4 linked regions of the Drosophila melanogaster genome follow. The protein of the gene in region 2 interacts with the protein of the main gene of each other region in a pairwise test. Each region holds a gene or a part of one and is shown on either strand. Other genes may lie near its edges.

Region 1 (4,625 bases), on a different chromosome or scaffold from region 2:
TGGCAATCTCGGCGAGAACATTTGTCTCTGGCATTGCCACCATACACTATATATGTATATATTCCATCCATTATTCCTCAAAGTGAAATGCATTTCTGGTAATCAGTTTGCCGAGAGCGGCAACAAATTGACATTGGCAATTTGTTTTGGCCGCCGCCTTTGATCATCCATCCGACTTGCGTCATCTCCGATCGTATTTCCTCATGGCATAAACAAACAAAAAATCGCTCGCCTGTCCGCCGCCTCACCCATTTTGGAATGCGTCTAAAAATATTCGAAAATCGTTTCGAAACCAGAAATATTTTGGGAATAGAAAGCTTTACGGTATGGTATTCGGGAAATTTGAAACGCACCGTCGCGTCTGGAGGTGAAAAAAGCTCACACATCACACATAGATCCATAAATGTACATATATATTGTATGTATCTTGAACTACTGATCGATGGAAAGCTTCGGCTAGGATTTGCTTTCCCGGCTAGATGCCCCCCCCCAATTTTTTCCAAAATCTCTATGTTTTTAGAAAAAATTAAATCTAAAAAATCGTTTTTATTTATAAATAATTATAAATTGTTTTAATTAATATTACAATCATGAGATTATTTTACATTTCGTAGTCAATAGACCCCATCCGCTCTATCGGGGAAGTTGTTAGGTTCTGTACAAAATACATGAGGGTGTCGGTTCATTCGTAAAACAATCAAATGGCGATCAACATTTAAGGAAACCGCGAGCGATTAACAAGTGGATGGGGATCGCGGTCCGTGGCATTAGATTGACAATTCATTTTGATTGATGGTGTTGTGTTCAGTCAGTACAAAAGAGTATTCTCGAACCAAGGATGACACGTTGGTAAATAATGACATTCAAAAACAAATGGTTGGATGGTGGTGGTGTTTGTTGTTTTTGCCGGTGGAGCACCAGCCGCCCACACACCCAGAACCACCACAAATAGCAGGACCAGATGAGCAGGAGACAGGTGAGTAGACCGGGTGGTGCTAGTGTTGGTGCTAGGCAACTGCAACTGCTTAGAAGCACTTGCGGTGGACGATGCCAGGGCCGGACTCGTCGTACTCCTCCTTGGAGATCCACATCTGCTGGAAGGTGGACAGAGAGGCCAGGATGGAGCCACCGATCCAGACGGAGTATTTGCGCTCTGGGGGAGCAATGATCTTGATCTTGATGGTGGATGGGGCCAGGGAGGTGATCTCCTTCTGCATACGATCGGCAATACCGGGGTACATGGTGGTGCCACCGGACATGACGATGTTGGCGTACAGGTCCTTACGGATATCCACATCGCACTTCATGATGGAGTTGTAGACGGTCTCGTGGATGCCGCAGGATTCCATTCCCAGGAAGGAAGGCTGGAACAGGGACTCGGGGCAACGGAAACGCTCGTTGCCGATGGTGATCACCTGTCCGTCGGGAAGCTCGTACGACTTCTCCAGGGAGGTGGAGGCGGCGGCGGTGGCCATCTCCTGCTCGAAGTCCAGGGCAACATAGCACAACTTCTCCTTGATGTCACGGACAATTTCACGCTCAGCGGTGGTGGTGAAAGAGTAGCCGCGCTCGGTCAGGATCTTCATCAGGTAGTCGGTCAAATCGCGACCAGCCAGATCCAGACGGAGGATGGCATGGGGCAGAGCATAACCCTCATAGATGGGGACGGTGTGGGAGACACCATCACCGGAGTCCAGAACGATACCGGTGGTACGACCGGAGGCGTACAGGGAGAGCACGGCCTGGATGGCGACGTACATGGCGGGCGAGTTGAAGGTCTCAAACATGATCTGGGTCATCTTCTCGCGGTTAGCCTTGGGGTTCAGGGGGGCCTCAGTCAGCAGGACGGGGTGCTCCTCGGGGGCAACACGCAGCTCGTTGTAGAAGGTGTGGTGCCAGATCTTCTCCATATCATCCCAGTTGGTGATGATACCGTGCTCGATGGGGTATTTCAGGGTGAGGATACCACGCTTGGACTGGGCCTCATCACCGACGTACGAGTCCTTCTGGCCCATACCGACCATCACACCCTGGTGGCGTGGACGACCGACGATGGAGGGGAAGACGGCACGGGGAGCGTCATCACCGGCGAAACCGGCCTTGCACATGCCGGAGCCTGCAGGATAACACAATCGAACAGGGGTCCATTAGTGGGCGCTCGAGTGCTTCATGTGGGGTTTCCCACACTGGGAGTCTAACATTTGCTCTAACGGACAGCGTGAAAAAGTCTGGCGACTAAGTCGAAAAAACTGGAAAAGTTTGGGGCGGAGAGAAAAATTCTCTCATGAAAATATGTGATCTGTCTTCTTCTCTCGTATAGAGAAATATCTGAAGATATATGATTTCTGAAATATTCCTCTTCTCTAATATCATGATCTCTTGAAAAGCTTTCAAGCATCAAAACTTATGAAAGTGATTCGGGCACAAAAAATCTTTATAAAACTTATGCAAATCGGTTTTGATTCTGTGCAAAATATAATATTTTAGCTTTTCTTTATCTGAATATTTATGATTCTTTGACTTGAATTGAAAATATTGCTCAATAACTAATATTTAAAATATATATTTCTCGAAATCATCCAAGGCATTGGAATATTTTTTTTGTTATATTCAAATTTCTAATTGCTTGTGTCCCGAAGGATGCGTGAGTTAATCACAACTCGAAAATCGTTCACTTTGCGATCACTTTAGCACTAGATGCGGGAATATCCTTTCGCTGTTGGGTCCTTTGTCTATTTCTCTTTCTTTTTTTTCTCTTTTAGCAAAAGCCAAGACGATAATCCGTTCGATGGGGAATACGCACCATTGTCAACGACCAGAGCAGCAACTTCATCGTCACACATTTTGTTTTAGTTTTGTTTTTTTTACGGCACCACGGGTGAATTAAATCAAGAGTTACGGTGTGTACGGCTTGGAACACAACTGACTGACTAAAGTATCGCCGCGTTGGTACTCGGATTTTATACCGCCGCCGAAATGCCATCTCGTCCAAGAAGCGCCGTCGCCATGCCCCCCGCCGCCACCGCCCCCGCCACGCCCCCATACCAATGGCAAAAGAAATACTCAAACGAATACACACAGCGAGGAAATATGCTCATGGATGCGATAATGCTGCCCACCGGCCGATCCGCCTAAAAATAGATCCTTCAGCATAGGGGGCTCTTTGGAAAACATAAGGCGAACGAGCGAGAGGCACAATATGGTATGGCATGCTATACGTATAGGAATACCATATAGCATATAGCGCAGTATAGTTCGGCGTGATCGAGCGTGGAGATCGTATCGGTTGGGATCGGGCACGATCGGCTGCCTGCTCACGATCGTTTGCAGTCTCAAAAAGTGCCGTATAAGGCAAGGAGGCGCCTCCAGCACACTCACACTCGTTTGCTCATTCTCAGCGAGTCGCTCTCTCTCTCTCTCCTGTTCTCCCACTATATCGGCCATATCGGCTATATCTGCTATATCTGCTATATTTGCTATATGTTTCGGTTCGGTTTGGATACTTTTTGGGTCGGTTCGTTACGGTGGGGGATTGGGTGGGTGGATATATTCGCTTTGTTGCTGGCTTCTATTTTCTCGTACGGCTCGTTGTTTTCATAACTTTCGTGTTTTTCTCATGTCGTAATAAATTCATTTTCTATTTTCGATATGTACACACACACAAACGCACAGCCTTAGTCAAATCGCATCTCTATCATTTCCCAGCCTTTGCACCTTCATGCCTTTCGTTTCTAATTTTGGTCATATTTCTCATTGCGCTCTCGCCCAAGATCCACGCCCACGCCCATGTCTACGCCCCTCGTGCAATGAGCATTATATTCAACTAATTGTTTATTTACAAATCGGGCTGTAAGATGTTAGTAAGGGGGATGGGAGGGGGGAGCTTAACCGTTACATGCCGGCTTTGCAGGGTACCCATTTAAATTGGGTTCGGTGCAATCTATTTTTGGGCTGCAACTAAGTGGGGCATGTTTACGTTTTATGGCACAATCCGGTGAGGCCAATCGTTGCTGTGGATCCTCCACACTCTCCTCCTCCACACATTTTACCCAATTCTCGCTGTATTCAAATACTTGGATACAGATGTATGTATTTGTGGCGCGGTTCGGTTGCTATACTACATGGAAAAACAAATGGATGTCGCTAAATTAGATTTGGGGCCCCATGCATATTCATTCTATAAAACGTGTATTTTCGCACGTACATATATGTATCTTTGGATACATAACACCAATAAGGTTGAGTTCCAGCTTCCCGAGGAAGAATGACTAATCCCTTAACCTAAATTGCAAAAATTAATCTATCAAAAGAATCGGTCTAGTTCGAATAGGATTATTTTCGAACTAATTTTAGACGGTTCTAAATATAGATCAAATGACAACAAGCAAGGTATTCCTCCAGAGTTGCCAGAGAGACAAGTAGGGCATATTTTTATTTTATGATTGTCGCCTTACTGATTACTATAATACTTATTGCAAATTTATAATAATTGCTTTTTAATAGGTATAATAATAATAATAATAATATAATATAATAACTTTAATAATAAGTATAAAAATAATAGTTTTTAGTGATATGCCTACAACAATTGTATATTTTCTATATTTTTCAATAATATTTTTTTT
Region 2 (7,030 bases):
TATACAACGAGAAAATATTAGAATATATTTTTCTGTGTAGAAATGAGCGTGTAATTCCACTTATATTTATGAATCTTTAAAGCCCAAGCTTTCATTGAGAAATATATATGTACGTACGTACGTATAAAGTTTAGAATATAAATGGGAACCATTGACAAACAAATTTAGTAAGAACTTTTAGTGCGATTGTTTTTATGTAGAGAACTTGAATAAAATTAAATCGGAATTGGAATTGGAATTATCAGTTAATCAAATATTTAATTAGAAACCTTAGGTCAAATAGTAGGTACAATGAATTGCCAAAAATTTGGCAAATAAAAAGCACTGATAAGAATGGATTAACTTAAAAACATAACTAAGACATTTAATTATTTATTTATTCTTCAATTATAGCTGATCAAACATTGCAAAAAAAGCGGAAAAAAACTACTTTCCCAAGTTATTATTTAGCTCACCAGATATTGCAATTCCAACCCATCCCCAGTTCCCCAATACTATCGCTCCACTTTGCACAACGTTGTTGGCATACTAATAGCTGCGCCTTGTTGATTTATTACTCATGAGCTCCACTTTTGTGCAATTCCAGACGGGTGATCGTCGAGGTCTACGCCTCGGATCTGCAGATTCAGGATTTCGAGGGCAGTCCGGCGACAGCACGATACAATATCAATGCTTATGTGGCGCAGCACACAAAGAATCACATCGAGAACATCATCGCCAGCGATATTCCGCAGACCACCAGGATGATTCTGGCCAACGCATTGTACTTTAAGGCATTCTGGGAAACGGACTTTATAGAGTCAGCCACACGTCCGGATAACTTCTATCCGAATGGCGAGGGAACGGAGCCGGTGATGAGGGTGCAGATGATGGCCACCGGTGGTGCATATCCGTATCACGAGGATCACGAGCTGGGCTGCAAGATCATTGGACTGCCGTACAGGGGAAATCTGAGCACCATGTACATCATCCAGCCGTTTAAGTCGTCGGTGAGGGAGCTAATGGCACTGCAGAAACGTCTGACGGCGGATAAGATCGAGAGCATGATCAGCCGAATGTACAGACGGGCCGCTCTGGTGGCATTCCCAAAGATGCATCTTACGGAGTCGGTGAACTTGAAGACAGTCATGCAGCGAATGGGGCTGGGCGGCATCTTTAGCGCGGTGCAGAATGATCTCTCGCTCATCGCCACCAACGAGGCCACGAGGACGAATGCGCTGGGCGGCAACAGCCTGCAGAATCTGGAGGCACAGCGCAGAGCCGGAACGGGTGGAGCACGTTCCGATCTGGTGGTGGATGACATTGTTCACAAAGTGGACTTCACCGTCAACGAGCAGGGCACGGAGGCGGCGGCGTCTTCGGTCACATACCTCAAGAAATCCGGTCCCGATGTCCTCTTCCGCGGAGACACTCCATTCATGGTCCTTGTGCGCCACGATCCCACGAAACTGGTGCTCTTCTACGGACTCATAAATGAGCCCCCGGCGGCCGCTTAGTTTCTAGGATCATAAGTTATTAAGCTTTAGCACCTAAGTTCGTTGACTTTATAGTTAGGAAACTAATAAATCATTCACAATGATGAAAAATAAATTAAAACGTAAATTATGAAAATTTGTATTGGTTTTTGTTGCTGTTGAATCTTTTCACATTATCCTATGTACCGTACAGCAGGCAGATTAAACAATGCCCACAAATGTTCAAGGCGCTAAGTTTCTACAAATCATTTAAATTTAAAAAACAACCGCCAATCAACCGGTTGCGGTTAAAAGCTCTGTTAAACGGAGATGCTGATTATTAGCGGGTAACATGTTTCGTTTAACGGAACAGCTGTTCATTTAGTCGGCAGTTATCGCTTAAGCCGCATGTTATCGATATCTTCAATTATTTTGTATTCTTTTTCGCAATAAAAAGTGTATACTTTAGAAATAAAGCTTTAAATAAGTTTAAATTGATTCGAAATGATAGCCCTACCCGACACAGATAGCGAGGATGAGCTGCCACCCGGCTGGGAGGAACGTGCCACCGATGACGGCACCGTTTGCTATGTGAAGTAAGTCAAAAGTCCAGTGGAGTCGTAAACATTGTCTGATATTTTTTAATTGCACCATTTAGCCAGCAGGGAAAAACATCACAGTGGACACATCCACGTACGGGTCGCTCCAAACGGATCACGGGCGAATTACCCTTGGGCTGGGAGAAGTACTACGATGAGCAGGGAAAGCGTTTCATGTTCCTCAACAAGGAGACGCAGCAACGAACGAATGTGGATCCTCGTTTGGCATTCGCCGTGGAGGAGCCCACACAGAATGTGGCCCAGGTGCGCCAGCGATTTGACTCCTGTTCGACGGCACTGCAGGTGCTGCACGGCAAGGATTTGCATGGACGCACCGCGCTGATAACGGGCGCAAATTGTGGCATTGGCTACGAGACGGCTCGTTCGCTCGCCCATCACGGCTGTGAGATCATCTTCGCCTGCCGGAACAGATCCTCCGCAGAGGCGGCCATCGAAAGGATTGCCCAGGAGCGACCTGCAGCACGTTCCCGCTGTCGATTCGCCGCTCTCGACTTGAGCTCTTTGCGTTCAGTTCAGCGATTTGTGGAAGAAATTAAGCAGAGTGTTAGGTCAGTAGCATAGCTTTCAAAATCTAATATTATTTAATTGATAATTATATTTATATTGCAGCCACATTGATTATCTCATCCTTAATGCCGGAGTATTCGCACTGCCCTACACGAGGACCGTGGATGGTCTGGAGACCACATTCCAGGTCTCGCACCTGTCGCATTTCTACCTCACATTGCAACTGGAGACACTGTTTGACTACAAAACACGGATCATTGTGCTGTCATCCGAGTCGCACAGGTAAGTGTGAATTTGAGCACTTTAGCACGTAATTAGGGAGGGAGGGGGTAATAGAGTATACCAGTTACGAAATAATTCATATATATTCTTATGGTGTGTATAAAAGGTTACAAACTAACCGCTGAACTTAAGTTTTATATTTCGTATGAAATATCAATAGATCAATCTTAAAAATTAAGTATTCAAAAGATATATGTTAAAAAAGGTTACATGGGAAATACAAAATCAACTGGTTATATTTCGCACTATCAGTAAGGGAATTAAAAAGTTATTTACAATTCGATCGTATTGTTTCTTGTATCAATTTTACTATCAGTCACTGTCTCAATAGAAAATCGTCTCTACTTAAGTTAAATAAAATACATCGAAGCTTCAAAATATATAAATTGATGTATTATATATAATTTCTTAAACCTATTTTCTTGAATCAATTTGGCTTATTTCTTTCCTAATTAAATTTCTCAATGTCAGCACTGTTAATCTCGTTTTAATAATTATTATTTTTTTGTTTCTGTTTTTGGCCGGCAAACAGTTGTCATTATTGCAACCTGTTTGTGTGCAAAATGATTATTATCAAAATCACACGGGTATTTTAATTGAAGCTGAATTTGGTGCATGTCACATTCTAAAAATATATATATTTAATATATTTTTAATAAGGAATAAAATAAAATTATATACTTTATGTTTTAACTATCTTAATAACTTTACAATATTAATTTAATTTATTTAATGTAGTTATAAATTCAATAGCTATTTCGTATTCGACACCATCAGTTTTAAATGTGTGTCTGCCATTTCGAGTTGCCTTCTTTTATTTTTGCAAGTTGATTGCACTTTTATGATTCCGCATAGTGGACTTTGCACCCAGCGTTTTCTTTTTTTTCGCACTTTGGGGCCAAACTATTCATAGACCAAACCAGAAATAAATGCATTCCGCCTCAGCCATGCCGTCTAGTGTAATGTTTTCCAAAATGTTTGCCTATTTGCCTCAGATTTGTTTGCGTAAGATGTTTTCCGTTTGATTCGATTTCAAGGCGAAACGTAATTGAACTCAGCTTGGCATATATGAGTATATATTATTCATAGGCTTCGTTTACATATTGTGCTGCGCACTCAGAGGCAAACAAAGAAACACATAAATATAAACAATTACGAGGCCAACGCAGCTGGGTTTTTGTATTATCAAAACCAAAAACGTGCGTACAATAGAGCAATATGATCGAACTCACGTGCAGCTGTAAGCACAGTGGAGTAGAGAGCTCTGAAAATATGATTGTAATCTTTCTTTAAAAAATATCTATGAGATAAATTAACTAAACTGAAGAAAGTATTTTTGTTTTTCTTTTAAAACTAAAACACATTCAGATTAGCTACGCATATAAATCCAAGCAGAGTACTTTTTTTGTAAGATAAACTTTGAATGTTCAAAACTAGCATGCTTTAAATAGATACTATAAATGTAAAAAGTGCCCCTATAATTTTCCTTATCAGCGCTAACTCGCTTAATTAGATTGATTCATTTGTGGCCGCTCGAATGGCTCACTGTGCATGCTGTCAAAGACCAAATAAATCACTGGGTGAGCGAATCTCGTGAAGAGGCACAATACCAATTCAAACTGAACTGGATGTACATATGTATGTACATACATACTGGCTATTGGAGGTGGTTTTGTATCTGCTGCGTTCGTTGCTGTGCTCACGTACAACATTTTTTGGCTTCGCGGAGCATACATGACTATCTGCGAGTACTCCAATGTGGCGCACGAGACTTTTGTTGCACGTTCACACGGGCGAGAAAAAGATATGAATGTTGGTATGGAAGTTCGACTGGTTATCATTTTCAAACATTAAAGATTACTTACAATTAGTTATTCTTGCATCAGCTCACAAAAATTGGGTTATTCATTGTTGCATAGATAAAATATTTTTATTTAAGGTTTCTCTTTTTCAAATAATTATATTTTTGCGTGGGAAAAGTTGTCCAGACATTAAACAATTATTAATTCAATTAGAGTCTTAAGGTAAAGCAACGAGTTATTGTTCTAAAATTAAATGCCATTCAGCAGCAATTTATCTGTCTGTAGAACCTAATTAATTTACATGCAAACAGTCGAAAAGAACGCTTTTTTGCTTACCTACCACAACAAGATACAAATATACATATATAAAAAAAGAAAAAAAATGGAACGCCAACGGGTTTCATTTGTCATGGATGCCAATGGATACCCATACTTATAAATAACACTGAATTTGCATACATTTTGCGACGTTATATTTACATCGCCCCCAAGCCGAGCGCAGATATTCAATAAAATGAAAACAAATCCAAAGTCCAGAAATGTGCGCGCAGATATGTGTTTGTGTATAGAAATGTTTTCATGTTGCGGCATTCGTGGATTCGCAGGAAATGTGCGACTTGCGCATGCGCTACTGCCGAGGATTCCAGAGGCTTCCGCCGAAAACTGGAGATACATAGATACATAGATAGATAGATAGATAGATAGATAGATACATAGATAGATAGTTCGCCATAGAGTTCACTATGCATATCAGAGGGTCCTTGTTCGATTGTGGGGCTTTGTTCCGCCGGCCCCACTTGTTGACTCACGCCATTGTTCGTGGGGAGCCTTTGTGCGCCCTGCACTGCGCTAATTCTGCATCTCATTAATAAAGAGCGCTTAAAGCCGGCTATGCCAGCCGGCAATGGCAATCAAGACTCGTTTCGCGATTGTCGGCCGGCGGGGCCAAAGTCCAGTGAGTTCACTTGGACGAGAAATGTTCATGTGGGTCTCATGTACCGACAAAGAAATGCGTCGCAAATAATCTTAGTTACTAACTAACATGCAGATTTGCCAACCTGCCCGTGGAGAATCTGGCAGTGCATCACCTTTCGCCGCCGCCGGAGAAATACTGGAGCATGATGGCCTACAACAATGCCAAGCTATGCAATGTCTTGTTCGCCCAGGAGCTCGCCCAGGTGAGTCCTTAAATTGGGTCAATTGAATTCCACTTGCCAACCCTTTTTTTTTGTTTTTTTGTTGCAGCGTTGGAAGCAGCGAGGCATTTCTGTTTTTAGCCTGCATCCGGGCAATATGGTGTCCAGCGATTTGTCACGAAACTATTGGTTCTACCGCCTGCTCTTTGCCATTGTGCGTCCCTTCACCAAGTCGCTGGTGAGTTTGGCAATGAGAAGAACTCTCTGTTTTCCCTTAACTTTCACTAATTGCTTTCTGTGCCCCATATGGCAGCAACAAGCGGCTGCCACGAGTATCTACTGTGCGACGGCCAACGAGCTGACCGGATTGTCTGGACTGTACTTCAACAATTGCTTCTTCTGCGAGCCCAGCAAGTTGTCCAAAAGTGCTGCACTGCAGCAGCAACTGTGGAAGCTGAGCGAGAACCTGATTGCCGAGCTTGTGGAGCAGGAGCAGCATTAGCCAAGTCATTTGGCTACTGTTTTTTAAATATATTTATGCATTATGCTACCACCAATGATTCCATTAGGTATAATTTTACATTTTAAACCAGCTATTCATTACAAAGATATATTTTGAATTCTTTAATAGTTTCTGCCCAATAAGTGCAATGCAAATAAACTTTTGTACGTTAAGAATATCATGTATTTTCTTTTTACACTAAACAAGTATACATTTTGATTTGTTTTTAAGTCTTAATGGCTAGCATTTAAATAACAGTCTAAGTACTAGTTAAGGAACTCTTCATTTGGGCACTAGAAATCGGAGACGCGTCCCTTGCGCTCCCAGTCGCCGTAGCGTGTGGGCTCCGGCCCGGCTGGTCCGCCGATCTCGCCCGTATACGGATTGGTCTGATTGGGCCAGGGCTTGAGTGGTTCCTTCTCCTGGTACGGATGTCGCGAGAATTCATCCAGCTTGCCCAGCGGCGTTTTAGCGCGCAGCTTCTTCTGGAAGGCCATTAGCTTCTCGGTGCGCGTCTTTGGTTCCTTGATCTCGACCACCATGTCGCCACCGCTGGCGGTTGCCCGCCAAGCGCCACTCGTCGATAGATAGCTCACTGTTAATGAAAAATTGAAAGAACGTTAGCATCGCCACTCCAGCACAGTGCGCACACACACACACACACACACACACACACCTTGTTTGCCCATTTGGGGCAGGACTCGCGCCGTTTGTCTGGTCACGGATT
Region 3 (3,021 bases), on a different chromosome or scaffold from region 2:
ATAATTGCTGTTTAATCGGCCGTTTATTTATGTTATCCATTATGTTATTATAATCATAACAGTTTCATTGCAGTTTGGCGGGATATTTAAAAAGATTTTGGAAAGTAGTTTAGAACGGTAAGGTAAACTTTGTGCAGCTCAAGACACAACTTTTGGGTTTATTGATTACGCATAATTTTCGGAAGTAATTCTTTTTCTTTCTTCTCACTTTCCTCCAAATGAATGAATTCCACTCGCTTTGTGTGAAAATTCTGCTTAATCAGACTTAACCCTGACACAATTTTGCCGGTTCTCACAACTTGAACTTCGTTGGGGGCCGACTAAAATGGAAGACCGAAATCTTGAAAAACTGCAAGCCAAGTAAGAAAATGGCTTATATAAAATGGATGGCGCAAAGGCAGAAGTATTCAGTGTTTCCGTAGATACCAAGATGGGTAAGCTTTGAAAGTAATATTAGCTAAAGAACACATTTCATATCGTATATATTTCATATATCAGGCGCCTTTAAAAATTCCCTGCTGCTGCTGACACTTCTGCTAGCCATCCATTTGGAGGCATCCAAGATAGTCTACAAGAAGCCGCTCTATGGCAATAGCAACATCATCAAGGACAAGCGTATAAAGACGAAGCCCGTCAAACTGGAAACCAGCACCATGAGCAGCACTGGTGTTGCAAGTAGCAGCACAACAGCCGAAGAGGATTGGCCCACGGCCGTTGAGTTTGTGATTATGACAACGCCCGCAAGCGAATTGGAAGCCAGCACGGAAACCATTGGTAACAATGGCACCACCGAAACGACCGTTGGCGAGGCACCCATCATCGGATCGTCGGAAGGATCCACACGATCGATGGAGCCAACCACCGCGAGTCCGCTGATGAGCACAAACCCATCGAGCAGCAGCAGTCTGGTTAGCACCATTCCCTTGCCACCGACAGCGGGACTGCCTGTGCAGGATAATCAGCCAGTGCCGTGCACATGCGGCGTCTTCCTCTCCTCGCAAATCCCAAATGGCTTGCCGACAAAGCCACTTATCCACCAGGAATTGGATCATATGTTTCCCTGCAATGCCATCGGTCGCAAGCAGTGTCAAACCAAATGCCTAGAGACGGTGAGTACTGGGGAAACGAGGAGGAAAAGATGAGGAGAAGCGCTCTATAACTCACCATTTCGTCCATTTTAGATCGTACAACATCTGCCGAATTCCGCAAATATAGTATGCTCCGCACTGGGTCACGATTGTCACAAGGAACGGGCCTATTTGTTCATCAAGAACTGTCACAATCAATGGGTTAATACCAATCTGCAGGCGGGCAGGGAGTACTGTTGTCGCTCTGGCGTTCCCTACCGTTGCCCATTGATGGGTTAAGCACTGTGCAAATGAAATAAATATATGATATGACAAAATTTCAACTGTATTGTAAATGCGCATGGTGTTAAAAAATCTAAAAAAAAAAGCAAAAAAAAAGCTAAGGTGTGCACATAAGGGTTAATAGATTTCAAACGGTTTGGTTCGAGTCCGGACTATATTAGTCCAACCGGTTGCGTTCTTTGCTAGAGAGTACGTATTTTTTTTTTTTAAGATAACAGTATATGCGTGGCGTTTTTAGGCTCAATACCAAACACAAGTGAACTGGCTACACTGACATTTTTGACAATAAATAAATAGTTGAATTAAGGAAATCAAAGCGAGAAATACTTTTTTTCCGGAGCCAGTAAGCTAACATTAAATAGGTACGTTCCGCAATTGTTGTAATCACTTGCAACGCCAATAACTAACCATTTTTAAAGCCCGAACAATGGTTTGCGTGCCCTGTATTATCATTCCACTGCTTCTGTACATTTGGCACAAATTTGTGCAGCCGATCCTGTTGCGCTACTGGAATCCCTGGGAGAAGAAGGACGACGATGGCAATGTGATCAAAAAGGGACCCGACTTCCCATTCGAGTGCAAGGGCGGCGTTTGCCCCTTCGTTCCGGGCGGCAAGAAGACGGAGAACGTCAGTGATGACGATGCCGAGGAATCTGAAAATCCGCCATTGAATGCAACAGCAATGGCAGCGGAAACGGAAGTGGACGAGTCCAAGAAGGAGATCTAGTCGAAATGTTCCAAATATTGTAATTTAACACATAGTACATTTTTTTTTTTTTGTTATGTTTTGACATAAGAGCGGAAAACACAACGCACACAACACAAGGACACAAATCCAACGTGGTGGGCGGCGATCGTTTGGTAAAGGAGGGGGAGGGGGCGTGGCCCTTGAAGAGCGGCAAGAACGTCTAAAGTATAATTAACTTGCAATTAAATGTACACTTTGACACGCGAAAAAACTGCTCTTTTCCTGCGGGTTTGTGTGTGTGTGTGTCAAGAGTTAAAGGTTAAAGGTTAACTCCACGCAGTTCCAATATGAAATATGGTATTTAAACTTTGTTCCAGCTGCAACAACGCAGAGCTGAAAAATTCGCCTTTATATGTTGTATATGTATATAATTAATGAAATAAACACACGGCTTTTAAAATAATTATTTAATATTTATTATTTATGTCAAAAAGTTTGCAGTTTCGTTTTGCTGTCTGGCTGTTTAAGTTAGGAAAACAAATAATTTTACAATTTACACATTAAAAACTTACACACAAAATATAGACGAAAGAAAGCAATACCGTTCAAATTAAAATTAATGCAAATCGAACGAGAAAATTCGTATTTTGCAGTTTTCTCTAAGTGTGTGCGTTTTTTTTCTTTCTGTTGCATATTTTTTGAAAATATCTTTTCATCAACTTAGATCGTAGATCGTCGAGTGTCCTTATATATATAGTAAACTTGGCTGGTTACTGTCTTTTTCGTGGTTTTTTCCTTTTTTTTCTTCTTTTCTTTCTTTCTTTCAATTAGACTTATACGTTTCCATTGGTGATTTTTGTGTAATTTTTTTTGCAAATCCTTTTGTATTTTGTATGTGTCAACTTAAATCAAACAGTTATGAGAATCTTTTTACAGTTTAGCTTAGTCAATATGTAATAATAC
Region 4 (5,487 bases), 280 kb from region 2:
GCTGCCAAATTTGGCAGTGTTTACACACTTGCTTATTTCGGGAATCCTTGTGCTGATGACCACTTGGGTTTATGGACGCGTTCGTTTCCAGTGCGACTTGCAGTTTATGTTAGGCAAAACGATCTCAAGTTTCAAAATTTTCTTTATACGCTTTGCCACGCCCATTTTTCTGGGACTGTGTCTGGTGAGTAGTGGTTATTATTATAAAATTATTTGTATATAGTTAATGACTGATATTATTGGAATTTCTTGCAGTTTCAACTAACCTATTTATTTACGCGTGATCGCATACACGATGTCCTGATTTATGTGAGTCAGGGCTTGATTCTCCTAACGGCCATATCTTATATGGTTTACAAGGTATGTCGGACGAATGGCGATTGGCGCCAGCGATTGCAACAGTGCCTCGCACCACATGACTGGCATCCGGTGGATGCGGACAACCGGCGATTCTACGAGGAAATCATGGGCATCTCGGAGATGCTGGTTATAGATGCCAATGCCAACACCACATAGTGCCTAAATATCGAATACTCCCTAGATCAAAACTCAATACTTACAGCGTCGTCACTTGACAAATGAACTGAACTGAACTCACTTTTATTATACACCCATATGCGGTCACATTCACACATGCAAAAAATACAATAACAAACACGCACACTAGTATATAAATAAGCGGATCCATTGGCAATGGCGATTGTTAGTTGTTGTAATGAAGTTGTACTGATATTTTCCAAAAGCTAGCTATAGTGAACAATATACTGGTGATATTTAGTAGTTTCCTACTAAAATGTTCAACAAGCTTCGGCCAAAAATATTGTTATGAACTAATAAAATTTTACCTTTTAGGCATTGAAAATGTTGAAGTCTTTTTTTGAAGTTGGTAAACGTATAAGGAAAAGAGTTAAATTTATGATATACGGCTGTCAGCACTTTAAACTATTTAATGTCGCACTAATAATAATAATAATTTTGGAATTTTAGTTATAGAATATATGACGTTTAGAGTAGATTGTTAGAAGCATGTTTTTAAATGCATGCAAAATAATAATAGTTTGAAAAATATATGAGGTAATTGTATATTATTACCTAAAACTAATCGCTAATAACAAACAAACATAAGAAAAAACAAATATTAAGACATTATCAATGCGTTATTGAAATCAACAGCCAGGGCGTTATGGGGTTTACTTGCTTTTGCATTGCTGTCTGAGTTTTCCCCCAGATTTGATAACTTTGCGGCTGTCTTGTTTGTCATCCCATTTCCCGAGCACGACCATATCAGTTTCCAGTTCCAAAATCGAAATGAACTTGGCAATGCACGACGATAGGCGCACATAAGAGAGACAGGCACAGATATAAGAGCTCTAATAATCTGAATTTAAAGCAAAATAACAATAAATGCAAATTTATGGTCGAGATCGGAAATACACTTACAAAACGTGTAATAACAAATTTACAATTATTTTGATAACCGAAAGCTTGAAACTATAGATAACTCGCTTAGATATATATTTTCCTAGCATATCTTTATTTTGACAACAGATCTGTTTGAAATTAGAGGGAGGTTTCAAATGAATCTCGGTATAAAGATACCCCACTTCCATAGTAATAACTGTGTGATTAAAGACCAAGTGTGCATCGCCTAAGTTGGGGTATCTCATTCAAGAGGGATGAGCTAAACAGAGGCCTGCTGTCGGAATCGGATTCAGTTTGCCGGCATCGGTTCTACTAATTAGTCCGTCAATTTAGAGTAAAACGCTCGCGGATCGGTTGCAGAAAAAAAATATATATATACTAATATTACCTCTGCGGGAGTGTAAAATTAGATCGTAGTTATATATACTTATTTACAAAATTTGCTTAAATCCATTCTCGCCCACATTTTGGCGGTAATATTGTGGGTAGTTCAACATGGTATATGAAACATCGTATGATACCGGGCATAAACCCTTTTCCCCCGATCTGAATCGAGGAAAATGGGATAAGCCAACGGACTTTATGTTCGCCTGCTTTGGATTAGCCTTGAAGTTGGATGTCTTTGTGGCATCGTTTTGGATGTTCTTCGACATGGGCAGTAAGTAACGCAAGGGCGACTACGTATATTATATTGCTGATAAGGTTCGGATTTAGACTAATCTGTGGAGGGGCGGTGCTCTGCTAATGTTCTCTTACCTTCTCATCTGACATACATACAAAACAATGCCTAATTCTGTCGATATTTATGTATTTAATGTAATAATTGTGTCTCTTTATACAGCACAAGAGATAACAGTTTATACATCAGAATTTAATCTTTATCTTTGAATGCATTTATTTAAATACACTATTTGCTTGGACCAGTTCTTGGAATACTGCCGTACTTTGTATATATGTCCATTTACTTGGTTCCCATCATGGTCATTCACTCCTTCATGGGTCAGTTCTCCAGCAGTGGATTCATCTCCGCCTTTCGCCTGTCGCCTTTCTTTAAAGGTACGTACGTAACCGAGAAGTTTAAACAGATATTAAATATTGATCGAAATATCAATTTCAGGCATGGGATATGTGAGTGGATTTTTAACTATCTCCATGCTAATTTACTATAGCATTTTTGCTGCGGTTCCACTTCTGTTCATAATAAACTCATTTCGACCCACTTTACCTTGGAGCTGTGAGGGCTTGAGTTCTTGGCACAATGGAAGTGCAACGCTATCTAGTGTATGAAATTTGTGTATGACTAAATTGAATTGAAGACTAAGTACATTTTTTATATTTAAGTCTTGTAATAAGACACTGATCTTGGAGGACTTTTCGGAATACAACAGATCTCACCAGCTGCTCCATGTACCATCCGTGCTCTATTTTCAGTAAGTGCTCCTATTTATATAGCAATAAAACATTACCTAATTAATCCAATGCAAATATTTTAATATTATTTTAAGAATTGTTTAAAAATAATTTCTTTTTAACTCTATGTTTACAGAAATCACTATGATAGCATGCAACAGGATGCGGTTCCGGATTGGTATAAGGATTACGAGTTGTCTTGGCATTTTGTTGGCCTATTCGCAATCATTTGGGTTGTGATTGCATTTATTTTTTATAAATTCTCAGAGACGGCCAAGTTTGGAAAACTTATACGCTACATGGTGATTGTTACCCTGGTTCTTCTTTTAGTGTGCTTTGTGCGATTCCTGTTCCTTCCGGGAGCTCTTAACGGGCTCCACAGATATGTGACTCCAAAGGCAAGTGACATGGCCATGGGAGTAGTGTCCACATTCATCATGGTTCTTCATGCATTCGGAGCTGGTTGGGGCAGTGTAATAACTCTGTCCAGTTTCAACGGTTTCAAGACTGACATCATGTCGTATAGTTGGATTATTTCCTTTGGACAGATCTTCATTTATATCATGTTTGGCATGGTTTCCTTTATGCTGGAACACTACTTTAATGGTAATAGCACTTTATAGATTTGCAATATCTTTACTGTATTGAAGTTATCCCTTTCAGAACTATCCGATGTTGATGATAACGGACATGTTTTGAGCCATTGGCTGCTATATTTGTCAAGTGCTTCTGCCTTGTCCACAATGGCTTGGCCAAACCTATGGACTTTTATATACTATTCTATGCTTTTAATTGCTGCTCTAATTGTGATGGTGATGATAATCTACACAATTAATTTTTATTTTTCACGCTACTAAACTTAAATAATTTTATTTTCAGACGACGCAAATCTTCACGGTTTTGCAAAGTTTGTTTGATGAGTTCGAAGTACTTAGAGTGAGAAAACAAGAGGTGACCTTTGGGCTAATTGGAGGTATTGCACTCTGCTCCTTTTACTTTTGCACCAATGTAAGTACTTAAGTTTACACAAAAAAGATATATTATTAAGAAATATTTTAAACAATTTTCCGTTTCTAGCATGGCATTATTTTCTTTTCGGCCTTGGGTCTTGATGCCATTTTCTCACATAGTTTGCTGCACTTACTGCTCCTTTTGGTGGTTTTGTGGATCTATGGTCGCGAACGATTCCAGCGAGATATTGAGTTCATGTTGGGCCAGCCCTTTGCCTCCTGGAAGGTTTTCATACTCCGCTTTATAGCTCCAATAATTTTAGTCATTTGTCTGGTTAGTTAGTTAGTTAGTTGCTTGTTGCTTTGAATAATCATATTCTTTTAACTAACTAGCTCGCGGGAATTGCTCTGTCCATATCGGAGCACTCTTATTCCACAACAGTGGTCTTCGTGATGTCAATTGTCCTCGTGGTTTTGCCCATTCTGGCCATTCCTGGATATGGATTTTACTACCTCTACCAGAGCACGGGCACCTTTTGCGAACGCTTTAAACGCACCTGCCGACCCACCGATTGGTATCCGGTTGAGATGGAGCACCGCCAGCAGTACGAGGAAGCTGTGGACAACACGGAGATGACCCACCAACTCTTCGAGGTTACTGAGGAGGTCAACTAGTTACTGATGCACTTAGAAATGTACTAAATATAAATATATGAGTAATTTTAATGCGTATTTAAAAAAAGGTATGCATATATATACAATCATATTGTGAAAGGTGGAAATGCTACACTTATTGCACTATGCTTACAGCAATGGGTTTTACAGCGTTTATCTCACCTGAATCGATCAGGTTCACACGTGTGACTGTCCAGAGAAACGTAGATATCTCGGAAAAGTTAATAAAGTTGAGCTTAAAAAATCTGTGACGTCCACAATTATAATGCTTACATAGTTTGTCTATCGAGAGAGAGAGAGAGCTTTTAAAAACGTGTAATTATTAATGTAGTTATTGATTAATTATGGTTATAAGCAAAGTACTCTTATTGACGTCATGTTAGTGTATAGAAATGCCTTTTAATTTCAGAATGCCACTTCGGTGACTCACTACTTTTAGGAACGGTATTAGTTTCATTGAGATGTTTGTTTTAACATATCCAAATTAATATACATCATATTACATTAAATTATTAGGGATCTTCTTACTGTCTGTTTGAACTTGTTCACATTACATAGTATTACAAAGTAATACCGACTATTTATTCAAAAAATTATGCTTAACATTATTTCTTAAAAGTGTATTTGATGGCCGATCTAGTGTGAATGGTCCGGGATAGGCTATGAGCATCTCAGTCCAGTGGAATCAGCTACACTGCGGTTTATCAGCGGAATCGGATTTAGTTCGTCCGCATCGCTGCTACTAATTAGTTCGTCAATTTAAAACGCTCGCGAAATGTTTGTTGTTTGCCAAAGCTTTTAATAATAAGTACCTCCATCGGCGTGTGAAATTGGATATATTTCTTTTTATACAAAAGTTTTTCAAATTCCTTTGCTCACACAATTTACCGGGCTATACTAACGTCACAAAATGATATATGAAACATCGTATGATAGTGGGCACAAACCCTTTTCCCCCGACTTGAAGAGAGGAAAGTGGGATAAGCCCACCGACTATATATTTGCCTGCTTTGGATTAGCCCTTAAACTG

The links.
Region 1: the proteins of Wwox (region 2) and Act57B interact in a two-hybrid assay, tested with the Drosophila melanogaster proteins (one large-scale study listed by BioGRID).
Region 3: the proteins of Wwox (region 2) and CG18508 interact in a two-hybrid assay, tested with the Drosophila melanogaster proteins (one large-scale study listed by BioGRID).
Region 4: the proteins of Wwox (region 2) and CG13795 interact in a two-hybrid assay, tested with the Drosophila melanogaster proteins (one large-scale study listed by BioGRID).

What each region holds. Positions count from the first base shown.
Region 1 is NT_033778.4:20,942,335-20,946,959, reverse strand, and holds Act57B (actin 57B), read right to left. Parts: upstream 2,940-4,625; 5' UTR 2,844-2,939; coding exon 2,804-2,843; intron 2,117-2,803; coding exon 1,026-2,116; 3' UTR 529-1,025; downstream 1-528. UniProt on the Drosophila melanogaster protein: Actins are highly conserved proteins that are involved in various types of cell motility and are ubiquitously expressed in all eukaryotic cells.
Region 2 is NT_033779.5:7,999,117-8,006,146, reverse strand, and holds Wwox (WW domain containing oxidoreductase), read left to right. Parts: upstream 1-1,860; 5' UTR 1,861-1,958; coding exon 1,959-2,050; intron 2,051-2,112; coding exon 2,113-2,622; intron 2,623-2,683; coding exon 2,684-2,863; intron 2,864-5,713; coding exon 5,714-5,843; intron 5,844-5,910; coding exon 5,911-6,039; intron 6,040-6,114; coding exon 6,115-6,303; 3' UTR 6,304-6,477; downstream 6,478-7,030. Other genes in the region: Spn28Dc (serpin 28Dc), read left to right, coding at 587-1,496; Sirup (Starvation-upregulated protein), read right to left, coding at 6,597-6,898, 6,980-7,030. UniProt on the Drosophila melanogaster protein: Putative oxidoreductase. May control genotoxic stress-induced cell death. May play a role in TGFB1 signaling and TGFB1-mediated cell death. May also play a role in tumor necrosis factor (TNF)-mediated cell death. May play a role in Wnt signaling.
Region 3 is NC_004354.4:3,171,756-3,174,776, reverse strand, and holds CG18508 (uncharacterized protein), read left to right. Parts: upstream 1-1,636; 5' UTR 1,637-1,732; intron 1,733-1,789; 5' UTR 1,790-1,797; coding exon 1,798-2,097; 3' UTR 2,098-2,509; downstream 2,510-3,021. Other genes in the region: Fcp3C (follicle cell protein 3C), read left to right, coding at 383-434, 499-1,109, 1,182-1,367.
Region 4 is NT_033779.5:7,722,526-7,728,012, reverse strand, and holds CG13795 (uncharacterized protein), read left to right. Parts: upstream 1-1,714; 5' UTR 1,715-1,917; coding exon 1,918-2,080; intron 2,081-2,346; coding exon 2,347-2,478; intron 2,479-2,539; coding exon 2,540-2,703; intron 2,704-2,763; coding exon 2,764-2,852; intron 2,853-2,968; coding exon 2,969-3,438; intron 3,439-3,495; coding exon 3,496-3,644; intron 3,645-3,711; coding exon 3,712-3,840; intron 3,841-3,909; coding exon 3,910-4,116; intron 4,117-4,175; coding exon 4,176-4,457; 3' UTR 4,458-4,968; downstream 4,969-5,487. Other genes in the region: CG13796 (uncharacterized protein), read left to right, coding at 1-184, 256-516; CG13794 (uncharacterized protein), read left to right, coding at 5,368-5,487.